2 linked regions of the Oreochromis niloticus genome follow. The main gene of each other region encodes a partner of the protein of the gene in region 2 in a complex. Links are inferred from orthologs where the notes say so. Each region holds a gene or a part of one and is shown on either strand. Other genes may lie near its edges.

Region 1 (15,432 bases), on a different chromosome or scaffold from region 2:
CAGCGAAATACCCCCGCTTATGCAGTTTAACAACCCAACCACATTCAAAAAGGGAACTTTCTTCGCCTTTGCCATCAGAACGTCATGACAGTGTGACTACCTGACAGAAAATGACAATGAATCCACATTTTTGCACAAATTTGGCCTTAAAGGCATGTGGTCTTAAACTTTTGAAGGCTGTAAAACAGCCTTTTTTCAGTTCAAGCATTGTTTTCAATAATCTGCATGCTCAAAAAAACGTTTTTCTCACTCCCATTTCTTCTTGTTTCACATTGAAACTACTTGGAACGTTTTTAACCCAAACATGCAAAATATGACTTTTTTGCCATTTTTCAAGTGATCTTAAACTTTTGATTGGGACTGTATGACTCAAGCATCAAGGCTTTCCATTTGATAAGGATGGTAATCAACAACTGTTTAACGACAACCATCACAAACGCTCACAATTAATTTACAGATTTTTGATTTTTTTTTTTTTTTTATATCCAATTGTGTCAAAATCATATCAGCTCAACAACGTAAAATTAACAACATTACATATATGAAAAGATTAAACATTGGGTTTTACATTTCTTGCAACAAAGCTATTTTTTTTAATGTTTCTCTTATGGATTTCTTCCTGAATATGAGCCACATGAGTAAATGTGTGAATCATGTTATCAGCAGTTCAGGCTCTCTTATCCCATTGTTACCACATGGCTTGAGGTCAATGCCTGGCAGTCACTGTCATGGAGTCTTTGCATAACTTAAATTTTTTTTAAAGTGCTGGTTGCTTGACAATAAACAATGTCAATATTTATTACAACATTACAGATCTGTCTTTGTAAAGTACATAGCAAAGTTTTCACCAGAAGGTCAGTCCATGAGGGTTTAGTCATTCGTGTACAGGAGTAAATACGTCATCACAAAAGACAAATATTGTGTAAGATTGAGGGAAAATGTGTAAGCTGTAAATCGCACCACACCCATAAATGAGACGAATGAGCACTCTCTCAGACCCGCTGTCACAAGGACAAATACAGAAAAATAATTCTTACCTCATACCACATATTTTGATTTTTCTGTATTATTCCCTAGTCTGTTATATTTAGAGTTTTTTTCATTAAACCCTTTTTACTTTTTTGAGCTACTTTGCCTTGTTATACATTTATTTTATTGAGCCAATATACTTTATTTGAGCTTTGTTGTTAAAAGTTGTATTTAATGTGCTGGCTGATGTAACTAGGGATGCACCGATACCGATACTGGTATCGGGTATCGGTGCCGATACTGTAAAATGTGTGCGTACTCGTACTCGTAAAAGTTAACCGATACCATGAACCGATACTCATAATTCCCATGGACTTAAACGCCACGGTAACATAAGGTGTTCACAGTTGATGTTATGTGATGTAACTCTACCCTGAATATAATTTGCCCTGTAATATGTCGCAAGGTAAATACAGGTAATTAGAGCAATCAAACTGTTACGTTAATCATAAAAGTATTATTTTATGGTATGTAACTCTGAAGGGAGTTAAAATATTTTTCAGAGTTCTAATTTTCTGGAGGCCTGTGAAGGTAGCATAAAACGGGACCTTGCATGGGGAGATGCACGAGGTTAGCTGAACCAAAGTGAGAGACTCGGCTAGTTTTACTGAGGTTAACTAGCACAAAAGAGTGTGTGACTAGAAAGCTGACCGTGTGAGAGCTTCACAACAGAGTGTGGGTGAAGTGACTTTTTGTTTCAATGGTCGCACCACCGTGCTGTGTTTCCAGCTACGACCGCCGAGGCTACAGGCTAGCCCGGACTGCTTGGCTGCGCCTTGGAGGCAGCCGCTATGGACTGTCGGAGAGCTGGACAGTGACTCGCTAACGCGCTGTAGCAGAGACAGCATCGGGTCCGCAGGGAGTGGATTTAGTGTGGGACTGGTGAACGGCGACCTACCGATCAGCTGAACTGTAAGTCAGACTTTTGTGCTCTTACTGGGGAGAAGAGGATTTTTCTCCATCGTCCGGCGTGAGCAACAAACAGGCCTGCAACAAGTGTGAATGTGAGTGTGTGTGGGGCCCATGTGTGAATATTGTATGTTTAGTGGATTTATATAACGTGTTTTGGAGTGTATATTAGTGAGTCACTTACCAAAAGGTGATAACATAAGTTGGGTTGTTTAATATAATTTGAAAGGGAATTATGTCATTTATACAGTGTATTTCATTTGGTTAAGGAATTGGAATATCATTTGAGTTTAAAAAAGGGATGTGTTGTACAGTATTTGTCTCTGCCCTTACGTTCAGTAAACGTTTCGTTTGTGTTAAAGAGTTGTGTGGGGTCGTTTCTTTACTACTGGTTAAGTTTAACTTGTGTGTGGTAGAAGTATCGGTTTTTGTACTCGGTATCGGCAAGTACTCAGATCCAAGTATCGGTATCGGATCGGTTTGAAAAAATTGGTATCGTTGCATCCCTAGATGTAACATAGCAATTTCCCAACTTTTGGGATAAAATATTTCTTATATGAATAATACATAAAGCCTGACAGTCTAATAAGCAAATTCCTATTTAAAAAGGTCATGTCTGCTAGAATAACATTAATAATAACCCTAAATGTTCTTGTGTGAGCTATAGAAATTAGCCAACTAACAGTACTGCCTTGTTTGTGTTTTCACAGACAGCTGTGGTCAAAACTTTCCACACGCTCATCGTGGGAATGAATATCACGGTAATGTTGGGATATTAATTATGTACTTTAATTTTTTATTTTTTTTGGGGGGGGGGGGGCTAGGCTAATATGAGTGTAAAGCAAACATTTCATAACTTTGAAAAACAAGAATTGTGTGCAGAACTTTTTTCCAATACACAAAGGATCAAAATTATACATATTCACATATATAGTGGTCGTAGCAACATGCTCTGGGGCTGTTTTGCTGCCAGCAGTACTGGCAGGTACATTGCACAAAGTGGATAAAACAATAAATAAGGTCTACCTCCAAATTTTTCCAACTTCAGCAAAACTGGACATAACTGAGTGTTCCAAACACACATCAAAACTTGTTTTAGAATGGTTAAAGTAGGCTAGCATTAGGTTTCTGGATTGACCTCGCCAATGCCCCAGCCTCACTACTATTGAAAATTTGTAGACTACATGTAAAATTCAGGTCTGTGCCAGGAAACCAACCGATTTTAATGAACTCTATCGAATGTGCCAAGAAGAGTGATTAAATATACATCCAGAATTATGCCACAAGCTTGTTGATGGCTCCCAAAAGCATCTGATTAAGGTACAACTTGCTAAGGGACATTTAACCAAATATTAGTGGGGATACGTATTTATTTGAGAGTGCATGTATACTTTTTAAACATGTTTGAATTTGAGTAAATCCAAAATAAACTCCAACTTGTGCAATTTTTAAGTAATTAAAGATATATGCTGTACAATCAATACAAAGACATTGCCAAACAGTACAAGTGCATCATGGTAAGACTGTGTCATGGCAACAACCAGCACCGAATTCCTGTGTGGATGCAGTAGGTCTGTATGGTCTTTTTTTAAAACAACGCTGACCTTGCAGAAGCACAGCCTCTTCAACGTGCTCCAGCTCCCAACTGAATACACCAGATCTCAACTACTGTCAAAGCTCAAACCACAGTTATTACCCAGCAATGTGCAGTAACTGTCAGCTTCCATTCCTATTTGTGCTAAAGCTGTACACAAAACCTGATGTAAAACCTTACCAAACAGCCCGAACAGGAAGCAAGACTAGAAGAACTTATTAAAAGTTTAGCAACACGTTCAAATTAATATAAGAAAGCAAAAGAGATGAAGTTTTGGTCTAGGCTTGTGCCAGGTCTCCAGTGTTGCACAGCAGGAAAGGAGGCCCTGCGCCTATTGAGTGCCTGACCTCAGAGGACAGCCAAGCACTCAGCTCCAACAGCCCACAGTTACAGCTGTGCTTTCTGCACAAAACTGTTTTTCACATAAAATCTTAAATCCTTCAAGCACGTAAGCTGGAAAGTGTTTACATTCCTGTCAATATGTACATAGGGGTAATTTTACTTTGTGCTTTATGATGAGGAAATATATGGCAGACTGTTTTTCGTGCAGTTGTCACAAAATGATCTGAAATCACTGTAAATGCTGTCATGTCTATGAAGCACCTGCTGGGTTTTTGTTGGCTCAAAATGGTCATTTTGCTGGGATTACTACACATACAAGAATGACTGGTCCTCATATAACTGAGGCAAGGAGTCTGTGTTACCTGACTTTAGAGGAGTCTGCACATTTGATTTTTTTTAAAAAGTGTATTTTAAGCTTTAGTACATTAAACAGCACCTACAAAAAAATGCTTATTTGCAGAAAAAAACCCTTAGATCAGAGAAACAAAGGAGGCTAAGGCAAGCCAGATTACATTAATTTCATGACACACAGTTGCTATTTTTGACAGCTGTACCTTCACCCTTTGATACCAAGAACTTTCCATTACGATCTAACAGAGTTTACAGTATAACCCAAGTAAACTACAAGTGTGTCACAGAAGCCACAAGCAAGGTAGACATTAACAGTACAGCTGTTCTGGTGGCAGCTGCTGAACAGGACTTTGTCATCTTTGCTCAAGAAATGTCCCAGCGAAGCCAAAGTTCGAAGTTCCTCTTCGGTCACATCTAGGGAGGCCCACTATAAACAAGCTGATAACACTGGGTGGGCAAGTTCCTTTGCATTTCACACTGTCATGTCCCCCATGTGAGATGACAGCACATTGTTTGTGTACACTTTTTCCTCCGGCTTCATAAATTCCCAGGGAAAGCCTTCAGTTACAGCTTCCTCTCCATTGTTGCACTGTTTCAACAGCACCCATCCCATTCCTACAATGTGGGCAAAGACCCAAAAAACATAATCTCACGGCTTAAAGCTGGTGCACTAGTCTGGATTGAAATAAATCTCTTCTTTTTGTTTTTAGTCACAGATATTAAAAGTATGCAGGGGGACTAATTTCTCATCCCAGTGCAGTGACAAACTGTCAGTTCGAGTGACAGCTTGACTCCAACTCCAACACAGTGCTGCTTTATCCCCAGAAGGAGCGAGTTTTGTGGAGCACGCCAGCTTCGTGGCACATTACAAACACCTGAAGAGTGTCGCTAGATGGCTAGACTTGTTGTTTTACATGTGACTGGGGTTTAAGTCGAACAGCTAGAAAGAAGCTACCAGGCAAAACCTAGAGGCTACAACAGAAACCTGACATTAGCATAAAACAACACATGTCACCACGCCTATAGTTAGACACAAAATTAGTTAATAGTAATAAACACCTGGTTGTTAAAAGGTCACACATCTGCGTGACACCAACAGCTTCATTGGGAGCCCAGCTGCCAGGAAAACAAACGTTCAAAGCGGTCTCTTACTGGCACAAGGAACCCCACGGCATTTCATTTCACGTACTTACCAGATAATCCATGTACTATCGCTGACCAGTCACCGCAGCACAAACTGGCTCTGTAGTAATTCCGTTTTTTGTTTTCTGTTTTCTTCAGTTAGTCGAAAATGTTACGGATTTTCACCGTAGGTCGCTTCGTATCCCCCGCCTTTCTACAGTCAAAGCAAAATAAAAACCAGCCCTTTTCGGAGGGTTTACAGGCAGAATGTAGCCGCCTTCTTCGCCACTGAACCAACTTTCAGTGCAGTAGAGTCTCCGGTTGTTTCAGAAGACGAGGGTCGCCGGGTTGGTGAGTGTATTTCTCAACAAACAGCTCCTTCTTTCACCGGCGGACTTCCAGTTTTTATCACACAATATCAGTTGAGTGTTTGGTTGAGGAAACTGTTACGAAGCCTCCACGCTACGTCACGCACGTCGTTTTGCGCACGCAACGCGGTCACATGACCAAACACATGGGTCGTCTATTTTCACTGTGAGGCTGAATGTCGCTAAGTTGGCCTTTTGTTTCTTTATTATTATTTAATTTTAAGTAGATTTCAAAGATGATTTCTGTTTATGTTTTCACTCCGAATCATATGATTTAATAGTAAATAATCCCCTGACACTGAAGATGAATAGATTTTCTCACATCCTAATCTGCGTTACAGATTAGTCCTTACACGCCAAAGTAAGGACTATGGACTATACAGAGAGATATAGATTATTAAATCATTATGTAACATTAAACATTTGGCTCACATGTCCTTTTCAAAGGAAGAGGACAATTCTGGCAGCATCGAGCATGGAATATTAATGTCATGTCAACTGGAATAAAAAAACATCCTGTACTTATTTACATCAAGGGCGTAGATTTGGTTTTGGCATTGGTGGGGACGGATGATTCAACCACCGAACCCTGCCCTGTTCCCCCCCCCCCCCCCTTTTTGTCTTTGCTTCTTGATAAAAAGATGGAGAGATATACTTGTCTACATATGCTATTCTACATGCTTTTAAACCATTTAAAATTACAATTCATAGTTTTATATGTGAATTATAAAATGTTAAATTACTATTAAACAAATGACTAAGTATTTTAGACTTTAGTTTACTTCAGCCATATTCCATATAAATCAGGTATCATACAAAAATAAAAACAGCTTCAAATACAGTCATGACAATAAAAGAATATGACTTTAAGGACTTAAGAACATTACTTCAGTTATAGTACACCAACATCTCTGATACATTAGCACTAAGGGAACACTGAATGACCTGGTGGTTTTTGTCCATAAAACTACTCATCTAAGATTACCACAAAATTATTATTATGTGCTTGATGTGCCTCACCTTTGGCCCTGGCTCTTCCCTTCTGACTGCACTAGGACATATTGCCACTTGATAAAATAACACATTGATTCGTGCCATATAAAAAGTGAGACTTGTCAATTCAGATTCTTTGTCAAATGTACACTAATGAATCAATTTACATCAGCAGCCTAACAATTGTCATGATAATAAATACTAGTTAATCTATAGCACCAAATCATCAGTCAGTCACCTGTGACCTCGCCTCTTCACCTCTGTCCGAGCTACAACATGGCAGAGCTGCCTCGGTCACCTGATAAATAACAGTGAGACATTCCAAATACATGCAGTCACACATGTGCTTCAAATACAGTAATGAACCACCAAGTCATCATCCAATTTCACCTGTGATCTTGTATCGCCATTGCTCTCTGAGCTTTGTGTTGGTTCTTCTGTCACCTGACAAATAGGACATCCATGACAATAAGAATAAAATGTGCAGCTGCTTCAGTGTTTCTGTCAATTTGTGCAGATCTTGACTCATCAGTAATGTTTGTAGGGTGAGTGCATTTTTAAAACAATTTGTGCAAACTGCACTACAAGGTGGAATATTTGCAAAATCATGACTACCTCATGATATATTGTCTCAAAAATCAACCCTATGAATATGTCAGTACCATTAGGATGAAATTACTGTGTCACCAACATTTTAACATTAGATATAATTTTAACAGCCTCTGTAAACTAATATCCTGGCTTGCTCGAGGCTGCCGTTTTCTCTGACACTTTCAATCAAAATTAGAAATGCTACTCTGGGAGACTGAGATAACTAATAGTGCTGCCTGCTGTGCAGTTAGTTTCCAAAACACGTTATTCATGGTTACATACAATTTTAGACTGATGTGGGCCAAAGCCGGGCATAGCCTGTAACGTTATTATGACGGACACATTTTATGAGTGAGCTTGACTTTAAGTGACTTACAGGTTTCTTTGAAAAATACTTTCTTATATCCAGGTTCTTCCTTTTTGCTGCCATCCTCCTCTCCTCCTTGCAGGTCCTCGCAGCGCAGGCTTGCCGCTGCTAAAACTAAACAGAGCTCCCTGAAAGGCACAGCCAATCACATTGGCCATATTTGTCACATGAGGTAGGACTCCAGTAGCGAACGTAATTTAAATCTTTCTGCACAGCTGGGTGAATGAGACGTTGACAAATCGTTGTTTTTTTTCTCTCTTTCTATCGGGTTTGTTTTTCTTTACTCGAAGAGATCAAATTATTTGTGGGGACAATTCAATAATCGCTGGATATTGGTGGGGACATGTCCCTTCCGTCCATGCCAAATCTACGCCCTTGATTTACATTCAACCAGATTACTGGTGTTCACGCAGATCTAACACATCTTTCAGCTTCAGCTGCAGTTTTCTACAATGTTATCGAGCTTTCGAGCAGACTAAAACAAACTCTGTCATAATATAGCACACTATGCATAATGAATGAGAAGAGATCACATGATAAGCATACATCGGAGTGAAAGACTGGTTCCTAAACGTGGCTATTAATCCGAAGAAGGTGGTTAGAAGAAAGAATGCATATGCAGGTGCATAACAGCTTTCACGCAAAGGAAATCGAACTTAAGATCAAGAAGCCTCAGCTACCACTATGGCACCCTCCAGAACTATGCAAATATGGTTTCATCTCATCACCTTCCCCCAAAAGACTGCAAAGAAAACTATCCGTGGGCAAAAGTAGTAAGAACTATCTAGAGCAAAGCACGATTACAGCTCACGCAATGCAGTTATGTTATATCAATGTAAATTAAAAGTCTGCTTATATGATGGAAGCTGAATACTGTAGTTATTTATATCTCTGGAGACCACATCCTTCTTCAATATTTAATGTGATGTGCTATTAAGGAACCCTCCCTGAAGTCAGTAAAGTAAGGTGAAATGGATGTCCCGTGGACAAGTCTGTAAGTTGTGGAAAAGTGGTAAGAAGAGTCCAAAGGAAAACATTGCTTTTGATCTCATCTGCAGAGAATTTCAAACACGTGTAAACGTATACGTGTCTACTAATGTTCTTTTTTTCTGGAATCCTGGCTCACGCAAATGTCAGTGGAGAGACCCCTGGTGGCCTGTAGGTATATAGTGGTTGAGATAACACAGCACCAGAAGTAAAGACCTTCAGGGCTTCCAAGGACACCTATCCATATCCACATCCAGGAGAGAAGCCCAGAATCACAAACCTTACATGGCTCAAAGCAGACTTACTCTACTACCTGAGCTCAGAGTGACCAAAAATCTAAATGTTGAACAAGCACTGCTTGTGAAGGACAATATGGAACAAGTCCGAGTTTTGAGTTCTCATTTTAAAATAAAAATACAACAAACTGGGGAGGGTATTAGATTTCCATACCTTATGTGAGGCTTATGTGTCAATTTTAGTGATTTTTAGCCACTTATGACAGACATGTACTGTCAGTTCACACCATATTTTCTTATCGACCCATGCATGCATGCATCCATCTCTTTTCTCAAAATTTTAAAAACATTCTAGAAAAAGGCAAGAAAACTCTGTGCCAGATGAACCAAACGCTGATTTGGTTCATCTGGATGTTGTGTTTTCAGTGAAAAGGTGAAAAAGTAAATGCTGGCATTTTATTTTCTTTCTGGTAAATGCCATCATATTCATCAGCATCTGCAAAGCTTGTGGATTGGGTGACTGTTTTGATGGATATAACATCAGACATGATATCTTTCACTTGAATGTAATTTAAAAAATCTTTTCCTGCTTTCTTCACATGCTTTGGGTAACTGTCAGACTTTAGAAAAGTGTCCTGCAGAGGCAGTCCAAATATGAGGCACAGAGTCAAAATGTGGGAAAGAAGAGCAAGTGATAAAAATGCTGTGTAGTCCCACATAAACCAGGGCGTATGATTAACTTACTGTACCTTAAACTACAAAAACCTCTATAATTTGTTTTATTATAAGGCCATTCACTAAAATTGTATTCCTTTCATTTCATGTTGAGTGAATTAAAAAGTGACTGAGTTGTGACACAAATGCACACTTTAAAAAACATTCCCTTATTTTTGCCACTTATTATTAAGAACCCCCCCGATGTTTAGTCGTTTTCATTGATGTTATTTGTACAAATAGCACTTTGGGTAATGTAAAGAATTCACAAGCTTTCACTGAGAAACAAAACAAGAAAAAGCCACTTGGGGGCAGTGTCTACCAAGTAAAGTGGATTTAAGGACGTCCTTGTGCAGTGCACCTCTTTCCCAAGGAAATGCTTACCTGCTGTATGTAACACCATTTAAACAAAGCTTTTCAGCTTTTATTCAATTTTGAATCGATAAACAGTATTTGGGCTGGAAAGTGGAGCGACCACCTGTAACAATTTTCTGATACTAGAAATATAAGTTCAATAATCGCGTTATTAATCATCAGAATAATTGATAATGGAGTCCTGTTTAGTCTCTCCCACACTTATTGTCTATGTGTCCTTTATAGGTGGCTATGTTGAAGCATGCAGGGTTATCAGTGGAGAAAACAGAGGAAATTTTACCATTTATGTCTCGGTTAAATTATCCAAAGACTTATTGTATTTTTTGTAGTTTATTAACTTATAAGTTAGACATTAAACTGACTTAAAATACACATAAGTAGTTTCCCCATTCAGCCTTTAACTGAAAGTATGAGTGTTTAGAATGCGAACAAAGTCAGGATGATATCAGTATTTTGCTGGCATTACTTTTGACTGAGAAACCACCGAAATCCGATCCCGACTTCTAATCTGATATCCGGACATCATTTGCGGTCTTATCTCAGACTAGCGAGTCTTGTTGTGTGTAAATATTTGCCATTTGCTTTGATAAGTCTGTAAAATTTTAAGCACTGGAAAAATTCAATGACTCCTCGGTTTGTTCTCGATTGTAGCTACTATTAATGACAGTGAAGTTAATTCCTCAAAATTTTGAGAAACAAGTAAACCTTATAGTTTTGCTGGGAACAATTTGTATTTACAATCACTGACAATAAGATACAGCTTAAGCTGTATGCCATAAAAACATGAAAAACTAAGACTCCTGCTGTGTTTTCATATACAGAAATGGATCAAAGTTTTTATGAAATGTAAATTGATGCAGGAGAATGACCCCTTTCTTCTTCGTGCCCTTGCGCTGCACTGTTAATTAGTAACTAGAGTCAACATCATCAACAGTCAGGCCTTTAAAAAAAAATGTACCTGGTTAAAGTTTTCACAGGTTAATCATTATGTATAATCTTAATTTGAAGTAATTATGCAGTGAAGTAGCTCTGGGATTTGATGCCTTTAATAGACATTACATTACCTGGAATTTGTAGACTGCATTTAAAGCGTTATAACTGTATGAAACGCCTCTTATTCACTAACACAATATGTAAAACTCCTGACTGTGACCTCAGCACATACTTTAAGCCTTAAATCATGTGCTGAGGCATCATCTTATCAGCTGTTATGTCTCTGCCGTTGCTCCCCGCAGGCGCATCGGTTTGTTTCCGATTGGAATCAATCAGTCATCGAGTCTAGAGAAACTCGCAGCGCTCACGGCCGGTTGATTTGTGTCGTCTGGGCGGATCGCGGCGTGCTGTTGCTCCGCCCTCGATTATTCAGCCTGGTTGACGTGCGGTTGCTGCGCAGCTTGTGAAGACAGAAGCGTACGACAGGGATCGGAGGGTGACTGCTGGAGCACAGATTAGTGTTGTTGTGGAGAGGGGAGAAAAAACATTAATTCAGGTTCGCACGCTGCAGGATTACAAACATCCCAGTGCTTTTTTGCCAACACAGAGGACCACTCTGAGAGCATCTGCTTGAAGACGCCGTTGTAGAAGTTTGTGCTCGGAGTTTTGAGAGTAGTTACTGTTGGGCTGACCGAGCTAGCCCGGCTGCCCGCTGTGCCTTCCTCTGTCCCGGCCAGCCAGCCGTAAGTGAGCCCGCTGTCCTGCTCTCCTTCCAGCTGTGGTGAATCATGGCGCTCAGAGCCAGAGCGCTGTACGACTTCAACTCTGAAAACCCCGGAGAGGTGTCCGTGAAGGAGAATGAGATCCTGACTGTGTACAGCGAAAAGGACATCGAGGGCTGGTTCGAAGGGGTGAACAGCAAAGGGGAAAGGGGACTGTTCCCCGCTTCGTACGTGGAGATCCTGCGGAACGATGCCGCCTCCACCACTGTCAACAACAACAGCTGCAACACATCTGGGGACGCTAACCCGGACTTTAGATACGCCAACATCCCATCCGGAGGTTTTGACGGCTCTTATAAACCTAAAGTTGAGAACTTTTCTAAACCATCTCCTCCTGGTTTCCCCGCTTTCTCACAACCGCTACAGCAGCAGCAGCAGCAGCACGGCTACCAGCAGCCCAGCCAAGGCAGCGATGATGACTGGGATGATGATTGGGATGACAGCTCTACTGTGGCAGATGAGCCAGGTACTGTAGGAGGACGGTACCATGACTATGAAGGGAATGGACCGTCCACTTACAGAGTGACGACATCATCAGTGCCACGAGGTAACGCTCAGCAAGCCAAGAGCTCTGCTACAGTGAGCAGGAACCTGAACAGGTTCTCGACCTTTGTGAAGTCAGGGGGAGAGGCGTTTGTGCTCGGAGAGGCGTCCGGCTTTGTGAAGGATGGGGATAAAATCTGCGTGGTGATGGGTAATTATGGTCCAGAGTGGCAAGAGAACCCTTACCCATTCAACTGTGCAATTGATGACCCCACTAAACAGACCAAGTTCAAGGGCATGAAAAGCTACATTTCCTATAAGCTGACACCCACCCACACACAGAACCCGGTGAACAGGAGGTATAAGCACTTTGACTGGCTGTATGCTCGGCTAGTGGAGAAGTTTCCCGTAATCTCGGTGCCACACATTCCAGAGAAGCAGGCCACGGGGCGCTTTGAGGAGGATTTTATCTCCAAGAGGAGGAAAGGCCTCATATGGTGGATGAACCACATGACCAGTCATCCTGTCCTGGCCAGGTGTGATGTTTTCCAGCACTTCCTCACGTGCAACAGCGCAGACGAGAAGGCCTGGAAGCAGGGGAAGAGGAAGGCAGAGAAGGACGAGATGGTCGGAGCCAACTTTTTCCTCACCATCAGCCCTCCGCCAGTTCCGTTAGACTTCCAGGAGGTGGAGAGCAAAATAGATGGATTCAAGACTTTTACTAAAAGAATGGACGACAGCACCTTGCAGCTCAATGCCACCGTCAGTGAGTTTGCGCGAAAGCAGATCAGTGGCTTCAAGAAGGAGTATCAAAAAGTAGGGATGTCATTTAAGGTCCTCAGTCAAGCCTTTGAAATCGACCAGCAGGTGTATTCTGCAGGACTCAACCAGGCAATCTCCTTCACCGGGGACACATTCGAAACCATCGGAGAATATTTCGCCGAGCAGCCCAACAAGGATCTCGACCCGATCATGGATTTGTTAGCTCTTTACCAAGGACATCTGGCAAACTACCCAGACATCATCCATGTCCAGAAAGGTAACCACAGTCATACACATTTACTAGATTTGTCCCCTCTGAGGAGCCTCAGTAGTCGGCTATTTTTCTTTACGTCTTTGGATTCTTGAGACATCAGAAGGGAATTATGATGATGATTATAATTAAATTCTATGCAGTAAGCATAAAGACCAAACTGAACTACAAAGGCAGAAAACTATCAGATACACACAATTCAAATTCAGAAGAACAGTAGAGGCCAAAATATTCAAATGTTTCATAATCCCAGTGAGCCACCCCATTTAAACTCACCACATATACACTTAAAGTAAAGCAATATGGCAACTGTGGGATCAATAAGACTTTAGTTTCAACCACAGGTTTGTCTGAGGTTTCAAAGTAGAGAAATAAGCATGTTTTCTTGCTGTGACAAGATAAACAGGGTAATTTTGTCTGAGGCATAGCTGCTCTTGTTAAACTGCAGTCAGGTTACTACACAGGCTGTGGCACTTTGCAAAACAAATAGCCGTTGTTTGCGTTTGGAAATTGGCTTACATGCTGCTGCCTCTGTTTGTCCCACCTGTTGAAATGATTGGGTGGAACTGTTCAGCCTATGTTTGAGTTTCCATTGCTGGTGAAGCATCACGTGTTAGCGGATGGAGAGAATGTCCTTCCAAGGTGAAGCCTCGTCAGTCTTTGCACAGATTAAGTAAATTGTTAGACTAATCTAGGCCATCCTCCTACAGTACCCTGGCCCAGCAATTGTTCATTGTGTGGCAAAATGTCACTCATGAGAGGATACACTGTTATACAAAAGGAACTGTGGAACTGCTCTCACAACCGCTGCCATATATGCAGTACAGTTAATGCAAGAGAAAAACAAAAAGCAAACCACACCTTTGGTCTGTAGGTCATACCTGACAGACTGCTTTCTGCCTTTGTAGTTACAAACTGAAAGTCCTGCCTCAAACAGTGCAATGTGGGACATGACAGAGGACATGAGCCAGTATGCACTCGCAGACTAATGCTTCTCATTCAAAGTATTTGTGCACAATCCCACTAAAAACATGTTACTTGTGCTTAATTGATAAGATAAAATTTTACAAAAGATGCTAAAAATGGCATTTTGCCAGTGCCACTGCCTGTGCCCCCAAAACCACTGGGTCCTTTCACTCCACAGTCGATGACAGAGAGTGAGGAAACAGGATGGATTGTGTAGTGGCTGCAGTGGGTTACAAACGTCACAGTCACTTCAAATCAAGATCACCACGTAGGCCACATACAGCTCCAAATAAGGCGACAGCCATTCACACAGTCTGGTGTGATAAGCCCAGCCCAATTCCAGAGATAAGATATTTGGAAGACCTTGCTGCAGGCACAATGTTGAGAAAAGATCAAGGAGTAGTACAAACACACAACGGCAGACGAAAAATAAAGCTGAAGGAAAAGATGCGATATGCAGGAGATTAAAGGAAGAGCATACTGAATCTAAAATTGCTTTGATCTCATCTTGTTCCTTTATTCTGAGTCCAGTTGAGCCAGTTTTTTGGGTTTTTTTCCCATATGAGCTTTCATTTCCTTGTAATTATTCTTTAAGCCAATAATCGATTTCAAACAAAACTACAAGTCTATTCCAGCTTATCAAACCTATTAGAGGCTGTAAACATTTATAATCCTACAAAGAAGAACAGTTGACATACTTACAGTGCATCCAGTATTTCCAAACATATGCTTGTTTATGACACCTGAATTGAAGCCTGTCACTCAGACTGCCTGAGGAGCATTAAATGCAAATATCTACTGCAAAGGTATTCATGCAGGTATCATCATATTCAGCCTGCAGTATATATTTATGATGTCTACTCACTTCAGTGTCTTTTATAATTTTCCATCATTTGACAACTGCTACTGCTGCAGTAAAACACTATAATTAAAAAGTTAAAAATATCTATCTATCTATCTATCTATCTATCTATCTATCTATCTATCTATCTATCTATCTATCGATACACACACACACACACACACACACACACACACACATACAAAACTGAGCGCTTAGGTTTCACTGTCATATCGCTGTTTGAAGACACAGCTGTGGGGCTGGGAATGTAAAGGTACACCAGCCACATACGTGCTCATCAGTAATACTCTTTAATAATGAGCGTTATTTTTCAATTTTTCATTTCCATCTATTGCTCGGTTTACAACCACCGTTACCACATGTTGAGGAAGTGTGATTCTTCTTTCCCGTTAGCC
Region 2 (15,976 bases):
TGTTACAGCATCTCTATATCTGGCATGAACTGCAGGTGTACAATGTGAACAGCAATGGAGACAGCACAGAGACCTTTCTGCACAGCTGCTTTACATCACCAAATCAGACAGAACACTGCTCAGTCTCACATACTATGACCTGTCTGCCAGGTGGCCAGTAATCCATGAGATGGTGGATGCATTTACTCACATGTAGCTTCTCTTCTCGTATCATCCAGTTCTGCATCTCTGCACTCCATTGTGCATATATACACAAAGTACTTTCTAGTGAATGCTTTCTAGTTCTGTTCTTTCTGCAGCATTTTCCTCCTCAGCTTTTTTCAGTAAAGAGTCTTAATGCCATTGTTTACCATTTTTAATTTTTTTTCCCCAGCACCTGAAAGCATATGATCTGCACAAATTGCTGGTGAACACAATGTGGAATTAAGGGAGAAGATCTGTTCCACAATAGCTCAGAGTGTGTTATTGTAACACATTCAAGTCTGCTAGGGTCTGTTTGGATATGACCGACGATAATTTCCTCACTGGACGGTCTGCGCAAGGATCTGTGCAGATGTCCGCATCCCTGTCTGTTTTTTTGCGTGCCTTATCTAAGCCATCAACTACGCATGCAGACCTTTAAGTAAGTATAATAGGATAAGTATTACAAGTATAATAGAAATAGCTACTCAGCCATGGTGTCTCCAGCATACTAGCTCATATGACCACAGATTAGCCACAGATAGACATTTTTATTTACATCAACTCTTTATTCAGGTTTACTAGATAGAATTTAGTTCTTTCATCAGCCAGAAAATACAAAGTCTGGCATCATTTTAAGACCATAAATGATATCCCTGAAAAGATGATGTGAGTACTTTTGCAGTTTATTCATTAACCTCAAAGACAGCTTATCATGTAAAACATGTAAGTATATACATGTAAGTTTTCAGTGGGCCTGGTCAGTCCCACTCACATTAGATAATCATGCTGCATCCTGGTTACCTCAGCATATGAAGATTACCAATGCTTTTTCAGGTGTTGTCGGCACGTGGCCTTTAAAGGGTAGTTATTAAATAATTCTCCGTAATGTAGTACTGTGCTTACTATATATAAACTCTACTTTCTCAAAAACTCAAACAATTTTCTGGTATTCCCAAATGATTAAGTTAATAAATGACTTGTCTGGTTCAATCAGCAACAATAAGTGAACTAAGCGCATGAATTAACGGCAACTAGTGAACTAGAAAAATCCTTTGTCAGGTGCTGTCTTAATAAAAAGAAAAGCAATGAAAATTTCATCGTGACGGATTACCCAATGTGCTTTCAATAGGCTTCTCCAAAACTACGTCCAGAGCCGGAAAATCTGGCGGCAGTGAGTTATTCATCGCTTTTAGTAAACGGGCTAAAACACGCATTAACAACTTGTGTGGGCCTTTAAACTGAGTCACAGACAAGAAGTTACCAAACAACAGGTTACTACAACAGAGGTTTTCTGGCTTCTTTCTCAAAGACGTCCTAAAAGGGTTGCAGAAACAGAGGAATATGTTTACAACAAGTGAATAATTTTTGTTCTTATAAACCATGCAGACAGGTGCCTGAACAAATAAGCAGAAATCACAAGTGATATGATTATAAAAAGATAAGTGTTTAAATAATAAACAAATTTGTATATAAATTAACACACTATGTTACGCGGGAGGTAACACGTACTTGCAACACTCAAATGCAGAGTGTTTTTTTAATGATATTACATTCCACTCGAGAGAAAATCTGCAGCCAATGCCGTCTTCTGTAATACCAAGTATAGTGAAATGCAGACAACCTTTGATTCGAGGTAATTACTTCTGATAAAGTGAGCGGCTGGCAGAAGAAGTCACGCTGAGTTCAAAGGGGTGTCCCTCATCAGGAAACATTAAGTGTTCTTACCAACATGATGTCATTTAATCCCAACACTTGATGCAGCGTTAAAAACCAAGGGTTACCAGGCAAACAATCCATCACGCTTTTTAGACATTTGCTATGATATGCTCCACACAAACCCCCAGAAAGAATAAAAACATTAAAAAACGCAACACACACAAACTGCTGTCAGTATTTCAACAAGGCCCGAAAGAGAAAAAATGAGTTTCACTTTAAGACAAAGTCCTGAGCAAAGAGCCTGCGAAGGCTGCTGAATCTGAATTAAGCATAGATTGGCCTATATTGCAGCAATTAGGGAACTAGTTCAAGTCGTGCCAGTTCTCATGTAGGTTCTTTTACACTGGGGACTTTTACTCTAAAACAGTGAAGAATACAGTGTAGTCTGGGCTAAGAAACAGTGGTTGAATTGAAAAGACCACGGTGGAATGAACTTTTAGTCATTTAACAGCAGAAAAGGTTTGCAGATGAGTGCTGTGCTGTGAAAGCAGAATGTGCCAGGGAATCATTTCTGCATAATAACTTGTAGGCATGACTAAACAGTATGCACGTGAAATAATATATTTATCACCAGCACGCAGAAGAATAACCACATCAATCACACACGCAATTTGAAAATAGAAGATAAGACAAAGTGACTCTAAGTGCCCGTGCATCTGATGCTGTACGAGTGGCCCGGCTTCCCCAGAATCAGAAAGCAGAGTGGTGTAGAGGAACATGTGTGCATAACCTGATTTGAGCTCTCATGCCTACGGTAAATCCATTCCTCCTCTCAAAAAGCTTGGAACACTGCATGTGAAGGAGTGACTAACTTGCACTTTCAGGAATATCGCACATAACTGGAAGCCAGAAGGGTAGCTAAATTCTTGTTTTTGCCCCAGCTACTTGGTTTTGTCCCAAAAGGCACTCACTGACCCACTCATTAACGGGTAAACCTGCAGCTTGACAAGAAACCCCCAGATGACAGTAATTGTTGCAGTCGCAGATGGAGAGCAATTAATGAAGGGGTCAGAAGTTTCCAGAAGTGTGTCTGCCTGCATTAAACACCTCCTGTATGAATCTCACTGTAACCCTTGACCTAGGACAATGATGGAGCTGGGTAAAACATAAGCAGGGTCACACACATTGATTATGGTGGCTTTCAAGTAAAATGAACACTTCTGAGAATGTTTTAAAATCATAACGAAGAGTAGAATCAGCATCACAGTGAATTATGTAATGCTGCACAGTCTGAAATCCTCTCTTACAAATCCACAACTGTGAAGAGGAACCAACTTATGAAAAAAGTTCTGATCCAATGCAAAGCAGCACCATCTGCTCTAACACAGTCTCTACCGTGAGCAGCATGTTTTGGGACTGTTTCTTTTTTTTTTGTAACCGACTCCAAACGACTATGCAGCTCCGCAAGCGGCATCAAATTAATTAACAATGACTTACAATACAAAGCACTTTGAACTGAGTGTGTGCTGTGAACAGAGCCAGATTGACGGGAAACTTTGACCCCACAGCCCTCCCTACAGTAGTTGCTTATGACTTGCCTCCCTTGAATTCCCCTCTGGTGCACTGCCAGCAGCACAGACGCTATACCCTCCAGAGCTGAGTGTTTATGATTAAGTATGCAGGTGTAATGATGCGAAAACTTAATGTATTCGTCTTTTAGTGGGAGTATGTGAACAGAATTCACAAATTGCCACTAACTACTGCAAACAGATACACCCGGTTACCCATTTACAAACATATCTTAGATGAATGGAGCTGAATTATTTAAAGCATCATTATGCAACAAGACACTCTCTCTGCTAACAGGCAAAATACTTCTACAGAGAAAAACTTCACATTATTTTATTAATTGTCTCTCGTTTTTTGAGTATATCAAACCAAAGTATGTCACGGCTGCTTAGGCAGCAGCTTTTATTTAAACATAAACTCAGTATTAGGTATATAGAAAGTATTTGGATGCTGTGGACAGAAAATGAACCGATGCTCCGGGATATTTAATGAGGTGCATGTAGATGTTTTAAACTCCGAACAGATCTACAGCTTGTGCACAAATTGAGGAATGACTCCAAAGCAAACTAAGCATGAGTGGAAAAGTGGCACAGTGGTTATGACTATCGCCTCACAGCAAGAGGGTCCTGAGTTTGAGACTGTCAACTGCCTGGCATCTTTTTTGTTTGGTATGTGGATGTTGTCCCTGTGCCTGTGTGGTATCGCTCCATTCACATTAGGCTAATTAGTGATTCTAAATTGCCTGGAAGCATAAGCGGCTGTCCTTTTCTCTCTGTGATAGATGGGTGACCAGTCAAGGTTGTACCCCACCTCTTATCCCATGACAGCTGGGAAAAGCTCCAGCCCTGCATGCCCCTGAACTGGATAAGGAGTTAAGAAAGTGGATAGATAGAAAAATATCCATCTAATTAAAAAGAGCAGAAAACTGTTTGTTTCAGTTTATTGTTTTTTGTCAAAACAAATTGTGCAGGAGTGTAATTATTAATCACTAAATGTCCATCAGAGCATGGAACATTTTCCTTCCTTAAGAAGAAAATGTCACTACCTTACAAAAATAAACACTTCACACAAGTTTGAAATATGGTGACTAGTGAATCAACAACCCAATTATTTTCTTCAAAACAGTTTCCAGTTAATGTTCTGCAATATTACTTATCAGTGAAGTGACTTGTGGATTCAGCGCCATTGTGTAGCACACACATGCACAGGAACACAGGTAAACACAAACATAAAAACATTCACTAAATGGTTGTAAAACACAAAATCTTAGTCATCAGATGTCTACTACAATCACAACAGATATATGCAATAATAAAAAGAAATTGCAAATATTTGCTGATCTTAGTATTCTGATAATATAACAGGATGGTGAACTTTCTCTGTTTACTCGGAAAACTGGTGCATGTCCGTGACTAGTCAGCTGTGATGAAAATAAATAAACAAACACCCCCCTCCCCAAATAGTATATTATGTAATGCTAATTTGGCAGAGGAACTACACCTAATTTCTGGTAATGGAGCTTGCTGATTTGTTCTGTTTTTCCTCCCAATTAATCCTCTTAAAATAAAGCAAATATTCTAATAAGCGCACAACAGTCATGTTTTTTTCCCCACAGTTTTAAGAGTTCGTAAATCAGCTGCTGACAGGTGTGTCTGTGTATGCATCAGTCCAGTCCAGCACCAAATCTACAAACACTTTCCAGGAATAACTTAGTCAGAAGCAACAACAGTTAGGGGGTTGGCTATGCAAAACATCAGATAAACCGTGGGTGAGGTAAACATCTTTCTCAAACACCATGCGCATACAAATACACACAGCACATGGGGGGCTTGAGGGTGTTAGAGGCTGTTATTCATTATCCACACGACTGCATTCCAGGATTGGACAAAAAAAAAAGAGTTATCGCCACCATCACTCTGAAGCAAGCGCATGAGAGGCAGACAGGGATTTAAGCAGGTTCTCAAACAAGATGCCCCCACCTGATAACCTCAGCACTGCCGTTGCACTATTCCCACATGTCCTAATGCATTTACAAATGAGAGAGAGGGAGAGATGAAAGGAAGGGGAAAGTGTGAAAAAGGTTGAATAGGAGGAGGGCAAGGCATGAGGAGGAAAAGCAGGAGGAGAGAGAGAGTGTGAACATTAACACTTAATGGAAGTGATGGAGAATGATAAGGACACCTGCTTCTCCGCTTTACAGGAAGTGACCTGTGAAGATCTGGCAACTACACCTGTGGCAGATTCAGTGTTGTCTGAGGGGAAAAGAACCTTTGCTGCTATCCTCCCCCATCTCTTTTCCCTCCAGTACAAGAAATTTATTGAGGAATTCCTTCTTTTTATTGCTCAATATCTGATTTTAGACATTTGACCTATAGATACACCACATGCACTCAGTGTTGAAAGGTCAAAACTGTGACTCCTTGCATCATAAACTATTACATAACTCATGTATCTACCTTGCCTTATCCAACAAAGAGGGTGGTCATGTGAAAGACCAGCCTAGAACAGACATCAACCTTTAACACATTCCAGGTGTCAAAGGTTGATGCAAAACTCTTACCTTTTTTAAACTCCTCCAGCATTGCGTCAAGCTTGGTGTCATTGAACACAAAATGCAACGGGTGGCTGTAAAACTTTGTGATGGTTTTGAGCGGAGTGCAATCATCCGGGTCCACGAAGGCCAGGTCCTTGACGAAGAGCAGATCCACTATATTGGACCTCTCGCCCTCGAAAACGGGGATGCGCGTGTAGCCGCTCTTCATGATCTCGGACATGGTATTGAAGTCCAGCGTTGCATCCCCAGGAATCATGAAGCAATCCCTCAGCGGCGTCATCACGTCCTCTACAGTCTTAGTCCTGAGCTCCAGCGCGCCCTGGATGATGTTCAGCTCCTCTTTCACCAGATCGTTGTAGGGGTCCGTAACGCGCAGCATCTCCAGAAGCTTCTCTCTGTTGTACACGGTTCCTATCTCCTGTCCGAGCAGGTAGTCCAACAGCTTACTGACTGGGTAGGACGCAGGGAAGGTAAGCAGCATGAAGAACTTGGTGAGGAATATGGTGTTGGCTCCCACAGCGAGGCCGTGCCTGGAGCAGATGGCCTGTGGCACGATTTCCCCAAAAATGACTATACCGATGGTGGACATGACAACAGCAATCAAGCCCGAACCGGCGATATCATCCAGCAAGATGGTTAGCGTGGTGTTCACTAACACGTTCCCGAGCAGAAGAGAGCACAGCAAATAATTCCCTTGGCTCCTGACCGGCTCTATTTTTTTGGCGTAATTCTTCTCCCTTTCCGTGCCGCAGTTCTGGACTATCTGGAGCTCCATGGGGTCCAGAGCCATGAGCCCCAGGTTCAGCCCGCTGAACATACCGGACAGGCAAAGCAACATGGAGATGAAGATGACCTGGAGCCAGAAAGGCAGCAGAAACTTTTTCTCCTCCACCACTATCACTTTGGTGTCATCCCCATCGTGGTAGATCCAGGTGTTCTCCGTCCGCGGGTCGTGCATCCCGGCCACGGCTGGTGTCGAGGTGGCGATGCAAAGGTAATACGTTTTACTCCTCTCCGTCTTTCGCAGAGGTTTGACCTCAATTTCAACTATACCGGATGTCTTTCGATTCAGGATGATGTAGGGCAATATCATTATATCCGAAGTCCTAAAACCACAGGGATGCAAGCCGGACGAGTCCTCCTGGCTCTGGTTATCCCCCGAGGAGCTGTCAATGCTCCCAACCGCCCGGCTCCGCTCATGTTCCGTGAAAGCAATTTTGGACCAGGTCTCGTTGTTGATGTTCTGCCCGTACACTCTTAATTTTACCCGAGAGCGCTCACTCACCCGCAGGTAGCCCTTATCCATGAAGGAAATGTCGTCCGTGTCCTCCAGTCGGAGCCCTATGATGACGGTCTCCTCGGACCCTTCCTTGCCACTTGTCGGGGTGACACAGCAGCCAGTGACAGTTAAGAAAATCATCGCCAAAGCTCGGACCCGGTTAAGTGACGCCATTTTTGCAGCGGTGGGTGCTTGGGATAACGGTTCTGCCATATTGATAACAACTGGCAACCAACCTCCTGAATGAAAAGGGCTTTTAAAAATCAGAGCCAGTCGGAGTCCGCCTTCATCTCCGCCCAGGGTTGCCGTGACTTGTGCATCAGGACCTGCTCGTTCCCACTACGTGTCCGACACTGATGACTCGCGAGCGCAGGCTTACGGGCCAACTCGTGCCTCCCCTGGTGTCCCCGATACAGGCGACGGCGACGACCAATCGGGAGGTTCCGCTGGCCGGGAGGCGGGGCGTCCGCAGCCTCCTTGGCGAATCAAATTCCAAAACAAGTGCACCTCATGTTAGGAGACAGGACTTTACTCGTGACTTCTTAAAACATATCATGCTAGAAAAGACAACCACAATAAGCAGTTTAAATGTCAAAAAAAGGCATGTGCAAAGATTAAAGGTTAACTAAAATAAATACTACAACATGTTTTATCTATATAGAGACTATCATAGGTTGTGACAAGTTAATTTGGTTTTTTGCTATCGCATTGCATCATCCTGCATGCTGAAACTCCGAAGCACTATCTATATCATGTCTTATTTTAATGATAGGTATTACAGGGGATAGTAATATGTTCATAGACTGCCTAACTTAAAGAGGTTAAAGTTGTCAAAACCAGAAAACACACACATACATGTACGTCATTGAGATGTGTAATACAAAAAACAATTTCTTTAACACAATTACTTCTTATTGGCCTATTTATCTTTTCCTCCTTTAAACTTAAAATGAAACTAAAATGAGAGATCCTGACCACCATGGCTTGAACTGGTGCCCTTAATCACAGCTTTTCCCAAATACAAATGTGCATTTGTACCTTTGGAAATAATGCACTACATCATAGGAGCAAAGATGAAAATAGAAGAGTCATTTCGTTAATTATTATTTATTGTGTTTTATCAGAAATAACACATAACCATCACAATAACGGGAGATAATTTGTACACTTTGGTTGAAGCACATCTTAAAGCCAGTCTGCAAAATAATTAAGCACCGATTTACTAAAACACAGGTTTTAAGGTAAGTAAAAAGTATTGTGTGAATAAACAATGTCAGTTTTATGGGTAAGAAAATAATTAGACTAAGTAGGCATATGACAAAATGAGGCACAAATGAAGAAGGTGCTCTTCTTAATACTGCTCATGGTTGTTAAAAGGTTTTAAATTTGTTGCATTTTTATTTAACCTTACTATAAAGTTTTCCTTTTATCTATACCATATAATTATGTTAATGAATTGTTACCATATTGAATCCTTTCATAAAATATTAACTGGGAGCACTTGCAGAACCCTTAAATCCCTCAAAGTGATATTGTTATCTTGTTTGCGCAAGATAATTTATAGCCTAGGTACTCAACATGTGGCCTGTGGGCCAGTGTCAGACTTCAAAAATGTTATGTGGCTTCTAATCACCCTTGATTCAACAACAGCTCAGTCAAAACCATTGTATAGTACCAGTGAAAACTGGAAGCAGGGAGCATATCTCTCCAATTTTAACTCTTTTTTTGACATTATGGCAAAATAAACCACCCTAACCTTAATTTAAAAACATTAAAAAAAAAAATAGTTGGTGCAATTTAACAATCACCTCACTAATGGTTAGCAGCAGATACCAACATGAACCACCACAATCTGATAAGACACAAAGTCAAACTAAAATTGTTTGATGTGAGATTTTTTTTCCTATGGCCCTGAATCATATGCTGGCTCCTTAAATTGGCTCATATGCACTTTAAGCAACTTCAAATACAAACACTTTGATTACACAATAAAACATTTTAAAGTCATCAGCAGAACTCATGTCCTTCACATAGTCATGCAGTATGTGAAGCAAATGATGGCTTTGTGTAATTGCAATGCAGGGTGTTCCAAAGTGAAACTAAAACTGGATTAGCTGAGTTGTCTCCATTATACACTGGGTAGGTGAAGTTGTTTGAGCAACCAGTATCAACCAGTAACATGATTATGTTTAATTAAAATGAATTAATTAATGGAAGTTCACCAAACATGTAGGCATTATTGGTAGGCAGGAAGCTGAGCCTGTTTCTTTGTGCTCTTCCCACCATCACTTGCAGCAGCCAGCAGACTGTGTGCTGCAGCATCCCCCAGTGGCTGATGCAGGGCCTTGCACACCCAACATCAGGGCCAGCTCAAAAGGGTCCTCAATGCCAGCCTGTATGAATAATTGAGCCAAGCAGAAGCATTAAAAGAACAAGCACCCAGTTACATGTATGTATCATGTAATATTTGTGTTTCATCCCAAATCACTGTAAGCAAGGTCAAAAAATTGAAGAAGTAAATCCAGGTACTATTATGGTATATTACAACAGAACACTGGCTCTTCTAGATGAAGTCTTTTTATGGCCCTGTGCTTCTTTTATCAGTTGCTGGTTGTTCATTAAGTCACAATTTCAAAGCAGCTGTTCTTTCCATGAATAAGACCAAAGGCTTTTTTATTACTATTATCAGCACACTGCTGTAGTGATTAGAGAAAACTCTTTCAGACAAGACTTCAATTCAGGGGGCAGTTCAAAATGTTAATAATGAGGTGGATTTTGATAAGCCTTTACCATTTTAATTTACTTCTATTTCCAATATCAGAAGAGAAAAAATCTTTAATGAGTGGTTAACAAGTTAGAGTACTCATTTTAAAAAAAATGTAAAGCGGTGCTGTTAGAGGTGTATGTGCATAAAATGATTGTAAGCCCTGATAAAATGGTATTCTATTAGCTGAGTGTAGAACATTCCTTCTTGTTCAAGGTTCCCCAGCATGACTCCACAGTCTGGTTATGAGTCCAAGACAGCTGCTTGACCTTGCGCTTGTGCATGTGTGTATGTATGTTTGAGGGGTACGTGAACGTCCAAGAATGTACAGCATGCAGAAGCACATGCATGTGTGTTTGTGAGCGCAGTTTGACAGAGGCGCTCTGCCCTCTGGGCGTGTCACACAAATTGATACCAGAAACACACTGACCCCTAATGTGTAAAAGAGACATCCAAGAATTTAAACACAACACTGACCTTAGGTTTGACTCCACAGGGCCCAGTGGGGCCCCCCAGTGGCTGAAAAGTGAAGTCCTCTGCAAATCTGGAATGTGTCAGTATGTTGGCCACCTCTCCATCCACCTCCACAACTTCATTGGCCTACAAAATACATCCAAATCTGAAATCATTTGCATAGTTTAAGTGAGCAGAAAGCATTACGTTCTTCTAATTCAGAATATACAGACCTTGAAGGTGTACTGACAGTCAAACTGGAAACTATCCTCTGCCCCTGTCATGCCCCCATTATATATGACTTTGCAGTTCTTGGTGTTCCCTTTGGGGACCTTAAACAAGCGGTATGTGGCAGAAACAAACTTGAAGTTGCCTGTATTAAACACACCAGATTGAAATTAAAAAATAAATAAATAAATTTCAGGTCATACACGAAGGTTAGCAGCTCTCAAAATCTAAAATAACTTGGAATCATGTAATGTTACATTAGTTGTAACTATAGCTACATAAATATAGGTTAGGAGAAAACCAGCAGTGACATTATAGTGCAGGCTAACTTAGTACTGTTTATTTGTAGGGTTAATCTATAAAATGTTCTTCTTTAAGTAGTTGTGCAAAAGGATTCTCTGATAGCATCATTCATGTCGATTGTGCCTGTGTGTACAACTGACATGAATGTCACTGGATATTTACTCATTTCCGGAGCTCTGTAAACTCCAAAGATGGCTGTTTGGGAAAATCCCAGTAGATCAGCAATTTCTGAAATAATCATACCAGCTTATCTGGCACTAACAACCACGCCACATTCAAAGTTACCTAAATGACCTTTTTCCCCCCATTCTGATACTTGGTTTGAACTTCAGCAGGTCATCATGACCATGTCGACATGCCTATGTGCACCGAGCTGTGTTCATGTGATTTGCTGACTAGATATTTGCATTAAAAAGCAGCTGAACAGATGTACCTAACAAAGTGGCTGTTGAGTGTAATTCTGTATCAAGCAAATAATGCAAAAGTCAAGCAAGTAAAAAAGCTGTCAAACCAAGAATGTCCTGCAGTTCCTTGTTGTCAACAGTGATGACACTGGCCGTAACCAGCCGTGGGGGGCTGAAGCCCACTTTTTCAGCCAATTGCAGGAGATCCTTCCACCAGAGTGCTCCAGCAAGGCACTCACCTGCAAAGATAAAACCGACTGTGATATTCTGGTGGGTGCTTGTCAATTTATGGCAGTAGAATATTAATTAGACGCACCCCATAACACTTTGTGATTTTTAATTTCCTCTGTTAGTCTTCCATTGCTGTAAATGTCACTGAAGTACAGCTCACCACCATCCTAATGAGGAAAAATGAGAAAGTGTATGTAAATGTGTAAATATTTTCTTTGCTCTCATAGCTTTATGATTGAAGATTTAATAACAATATTAAAAAAATGAGAAGCAGTGTACCTTAAGTACTTTGTAAGCTTCAGTCAGTACCATCCTCTTGTCTGGAGAAAGATTCACTACACAGTTGGAGCTAAGCAAAAGGAGATGATGTTCGAAACTGTTATTCTATGATTATATTAAGTTAGAACTGCACACAAATAAGGATTAGTAAGACACCTTACATGATAACATCGAACGAGTCATTTTCCAGACCTGCCTCGGTCAAGGCTTCGATGTAGCCTTGGACAAAATTTATATTTGGCTTCTTGTAACCAAACTCTTTCATGTGATGGTCCACATAGGTCCTGGCCAACTCAAGCTGGAATTTAAAAAAAAAGGCATTTATCAGAATTTATCACTATCACTCACTAGGTCCAAAAATCTTTGGTTGTATTTAAGCCATGCATGCATATAAAACAGAGTTTTGTCTTTACAAATTAAGAAGATGAAAAGTTTTCACTTATAAGATTTTACCAGCCTTCAATAAAGTTTTGGAGTTACATTCAATATCATTTAGCCATCAACTGGGATCCACTGATTAATCATAAGGCCAGTACAGCGATACAAATGTTCAATACCTGGCCGTCAGTCATGTCAATACCAGTGACATGGCCCTTCTCACCCACAAGCTGACTCAACATATAGCAGTCCCTCCCACTTCCACTGCCCAAGTCTAGTATCCTGCAGCCCTCTAAGCATTCTGGCACAACCAAACCACAGCCATAGTACCTGTGGAAGACAAAAACATATCAGGTTCACTGATTTTGAAGTGTGACTAGAAGAACAGAGAGGTCAGCAACCCACTAACCTAGCAGTGATTTCAGGGTGTACTTTCTTTAGTGCCTGGCGAATGAAGTCAGGGGTGGGCTGCACTGGAGCCACGCAGGCATTGGTCTTTAGGTCTGAGGTTTGCTTCAGCCTCTTGCCATAATAATCCTGTTTTGACAAAGAAACCTTGGTAACAGTAGCCCCTCATTATGAAGCAGGTTTGTATAATTCAGCAAAGGGGAGTTAAGAAAAGATAAAGGTCTAAAAATGTGAGACTAATACGAAAACCCTCAGTGTATTTACTAGTTACAAAACGTTTGCTTCAGACTATTTATTTATAAATAAACAGTTTGTTTGCTCCCGTTGTCTCAGGAACATTAATAAAATCCTTCAGGACCCATCTCACCATGATGATGCACTGTTTGAACATCTACCTTCAGGCAGACGTTTCAGAACCATAAAGATATGACCTAATAGACTAAGGAACTTAGTCTGTTAAGCTTTTATCCCTCAGCCATCAACATGCTGAACACTACTAAATTATGGACATCCAGATTCAATACAACTTACATAAACAATGTTTACATTGTTACAAGATGATCTCATGTTTACAATTGCAGTTACCCTTGGTATTTAAGTTAACACCAGCAAATTGGGAGAAGCACAATATGGAAACAATTGTGTTGTTGTTGTTGTTGTTGTTGTTTGTTTTATATATCCCTTGTGTTTTCCTTGGGTCATTTTTGTCCCCTGAGGACCACAGGTGTATGGAAATCGGGAGGACAATTTGTTTAGTATGTAAAAGATGGATGAAGGCACTGTGATGTCATCCAGTGGTCTTTGGACTGTTTGTTTTATGGAGATAAATGTTTAATCTCAGTTTGCTGAGATTAAACATTTATCTCCCTCATAATGTCCTCCCGATTTCCATACACCTGTGGTCCTCAGGGACAAAAATGACCCAAAGACAACACAAGGGACATATATATATATATTCTAATTTTTATTCTCCTTTTGCACTGAGATAATTGCTATAATGGCAATACAGACTGTGATTCTGATGTACAGTATGTCAATGTCTGCATTTTTAAGGGTGCACAAAGGATAGGCTGAGAAAAACTGTTTGCATGACACACAAGGTTTTACTGTCTGACTTTGAGGCTGCACTGGAAACTGACCATACAAGTAATGGAACAAAACTGCTGGACAGACACGTTAATAAGCACAACTACGGCTAACATGGATTTATTTTTAAATGACAGATGATCTGTACAAACAGATCATTTACTCATCAGGGGGAAGATCCTGTTTAATTCTGTTTTAACAGATACATAAATACTGCAAAGAGGCTAACAACACTGTCAGGAGCAGTACCACTACCGACTGGTGTTATTTTACCTTCACGTCCACGTGAATGGTGCTATCAGAGAATGCCTTTGGACACGTACTTAAAAAAAGAAAAAAGAAAATATGAGTTACACATTAGCCCTCCAAATACACGTTAGTAAGTTAGCCTACGCTAAGTCACTGCTAGTTCACTGGTGACTTAGAGTGATGTAGCTATAGTTACAACTAAGGTCACGTAACAAGATTACAAGTATTTTAGTCTTTAACTTGACACCTTATGACTACCGTTTCTTTAAAAATAACCGTGTACGTATCATTGATCATAACAACATTAAAGGTGAAGATTCAACCTGCCACACGTCACTCGCTGAATTCAGAACAGCTACAGCTTGAAACTGGATAAAGCACAAGGATTAGGCTGTTTTTACCTCTTTCCAGGGTCCATGGTCACATTACGTGCGCTTTCCAAGTTCGCTTTAAAGAGGAAAATCTCAGTGTGCTGTCAAGTTTTCTTACTTTGGACCAATGACTGTAGCTTTGAACCAACACTGTGCGTTTCACTTCCTGTTTTACCAGCACGCCCCCTACCTGCCTCGCTGGCTAACGTCACAGCAGCAATGTGTTGCTGTATTAACTAAATGCATTTAATTTAATTTAATAGAAACAAGGCTATCAATTTCACGGGGATTTCCAAGAGGAAGCATGGGGCACTCCCACCAATCATTCAGCTGAATAATAATACATAAATTATTAAAACTGGGTGTTACAGAATATAATAATATAATATTAGATTTATAATATTGCTTTCTTGTTAAATGGTAAGGTGCCTTCCAAATGTGGTCAGTGATGGTTTATCAGTTCACAATAAAAACAGCTGTCCACCTGCAAGTAAGCAGTTTTTCATTATATGTGGCAAAAGTGCCACAGCTTCAAACTGGAAGATACACAGCATCATAGGTGCATAGCCCTTTCTGGAAGGCTACTGAAAGTCAAATTCTGACAAAGTTAGACAACCTTTTGGGAAAATAGTAAGGAGTGCTTGTGATATTGTGCAAAATCCCAGTTACATGTGTATGGGATTTTGCTTAGCCTTGTGACAGCCTGGTGACATCTCCAGGATGGACCCTGCCTTTCACCCAATGACAGCTGGGATGAAATCCAATCAGCTAGTCAGTGGCTGATTAGCGGCATTTGTTAGGATCCTTAACCTCTGCAATAACATCACTCACTCAGTAGAACCACTCTGAAATTAAGTCACGGACACAGTGATCGACTACAATTAAGCATTTTTATTGAACATACATCCATCTTAGTTGTCATAATAAATGGCTTATGTCAAGAAGTGCAAAACCACACACACTTATGAAGAAAGAAAAATGTCTTTGGCGAGATGCCCCTGATCTTGTTAACAAATTATCTACTGTACTGTTAGTCAAACGTACCCTTCACACAACTTCAGTTTGAGTCTCAGAAGAACTTTAGTCTTTCTCAACAAAAAATCAATAATACCCACAAGAAGAAAAAAAAAAAGAATCTGTCCATAATGATAAAGCTAATGATTTCATAAAAACGATTAAAGCAACTATTTGGTTCATGAACATGTTACAGAATGTTGTACATGATTTGTAATATAAAGTGGTTTTGACATTTTATACAGTTCCGTTATTTTTTCAAAGAATCAGACAATATGAAAAATAGCTCATCTTTCGACTACATGTACCACAATTACACAATGACATCTTCTAGCTTGCGGAAAGCATTAACGGATAAAGCACTTTCGAGTGTGTTCGGGTTTTGATGGGCAAAAGTCAATCAGCTTAACTGTTTATGCAGAAAGTTACTTTCCTTTTGTGCTGGAAATTCTGGGAAACAATTTTCTCCTAGAGCCGTAAAACTAACGGCTGAAACATTTGTGCTTTGCAGAATTGCAATTTGTGCATCTTTTCAGCTACTCCAAGTAGATTAATTGCATGGCATAA

The links.
Region 1: the proteins of cnnm2b (region 2) and ADP-ribosylation factor-like protein 15 are in contact, whole or in part, in a crystal structure (PDB 8F6D), measured with the Homo sapiens proteins. The link is inferred for Oreochromis niloticus from reciprocal best matches to the Homo sapiens genes CNNM2 and ARL15. Residues at the interface, in NP_060119.3 of Homo sapiens: Asn490, Val492, Pro521, Leu522, His523, Phe524, Val525, Phe526, Thr529, Glu537, Lys542, Ser543, Gln549; in NP_061960.1 of Homo sapiens: Tyr92, Ser94, Arg95, Gln98, Gln128, His129, Pro130, Gln131, Cys133.

Annotation. Positions count from the first base shown.
Region 1 is NC_031977.2:26,526,767-26,542,198, forward strand, and holds the start of ADP-ribosylation factor-like protein 15, read right to left. Parts: upstream 5,841-15,432; 5' UTR 5,431-5,840; coding exon 5,419-5,430; intron 1-5,418. Other genes in the region: snx18a (sorting nexin-18a), read left to right, coding at 11,700-13,215.
Region 2 is NC_031971.2:33,159,226-33,175,201, reverse strand, and holds the start of cnnm2b (metal transporter CNNM2), read right to left. Parts: upstream 7,799-15,976; 5' UTR 7,455-7,798; coding exon 5,969-7,454; intron 1-5,968. Other genes in the region: as3mt (arsenite methyltransferase), read right to left, coding at 9,527-9,634, 10,483-10,605, 10,692-10,831, 11,501-11,632, 11,710-11,791, 11,904-11,973, 12,065-12,201, 12,461-12,611 and 3 more.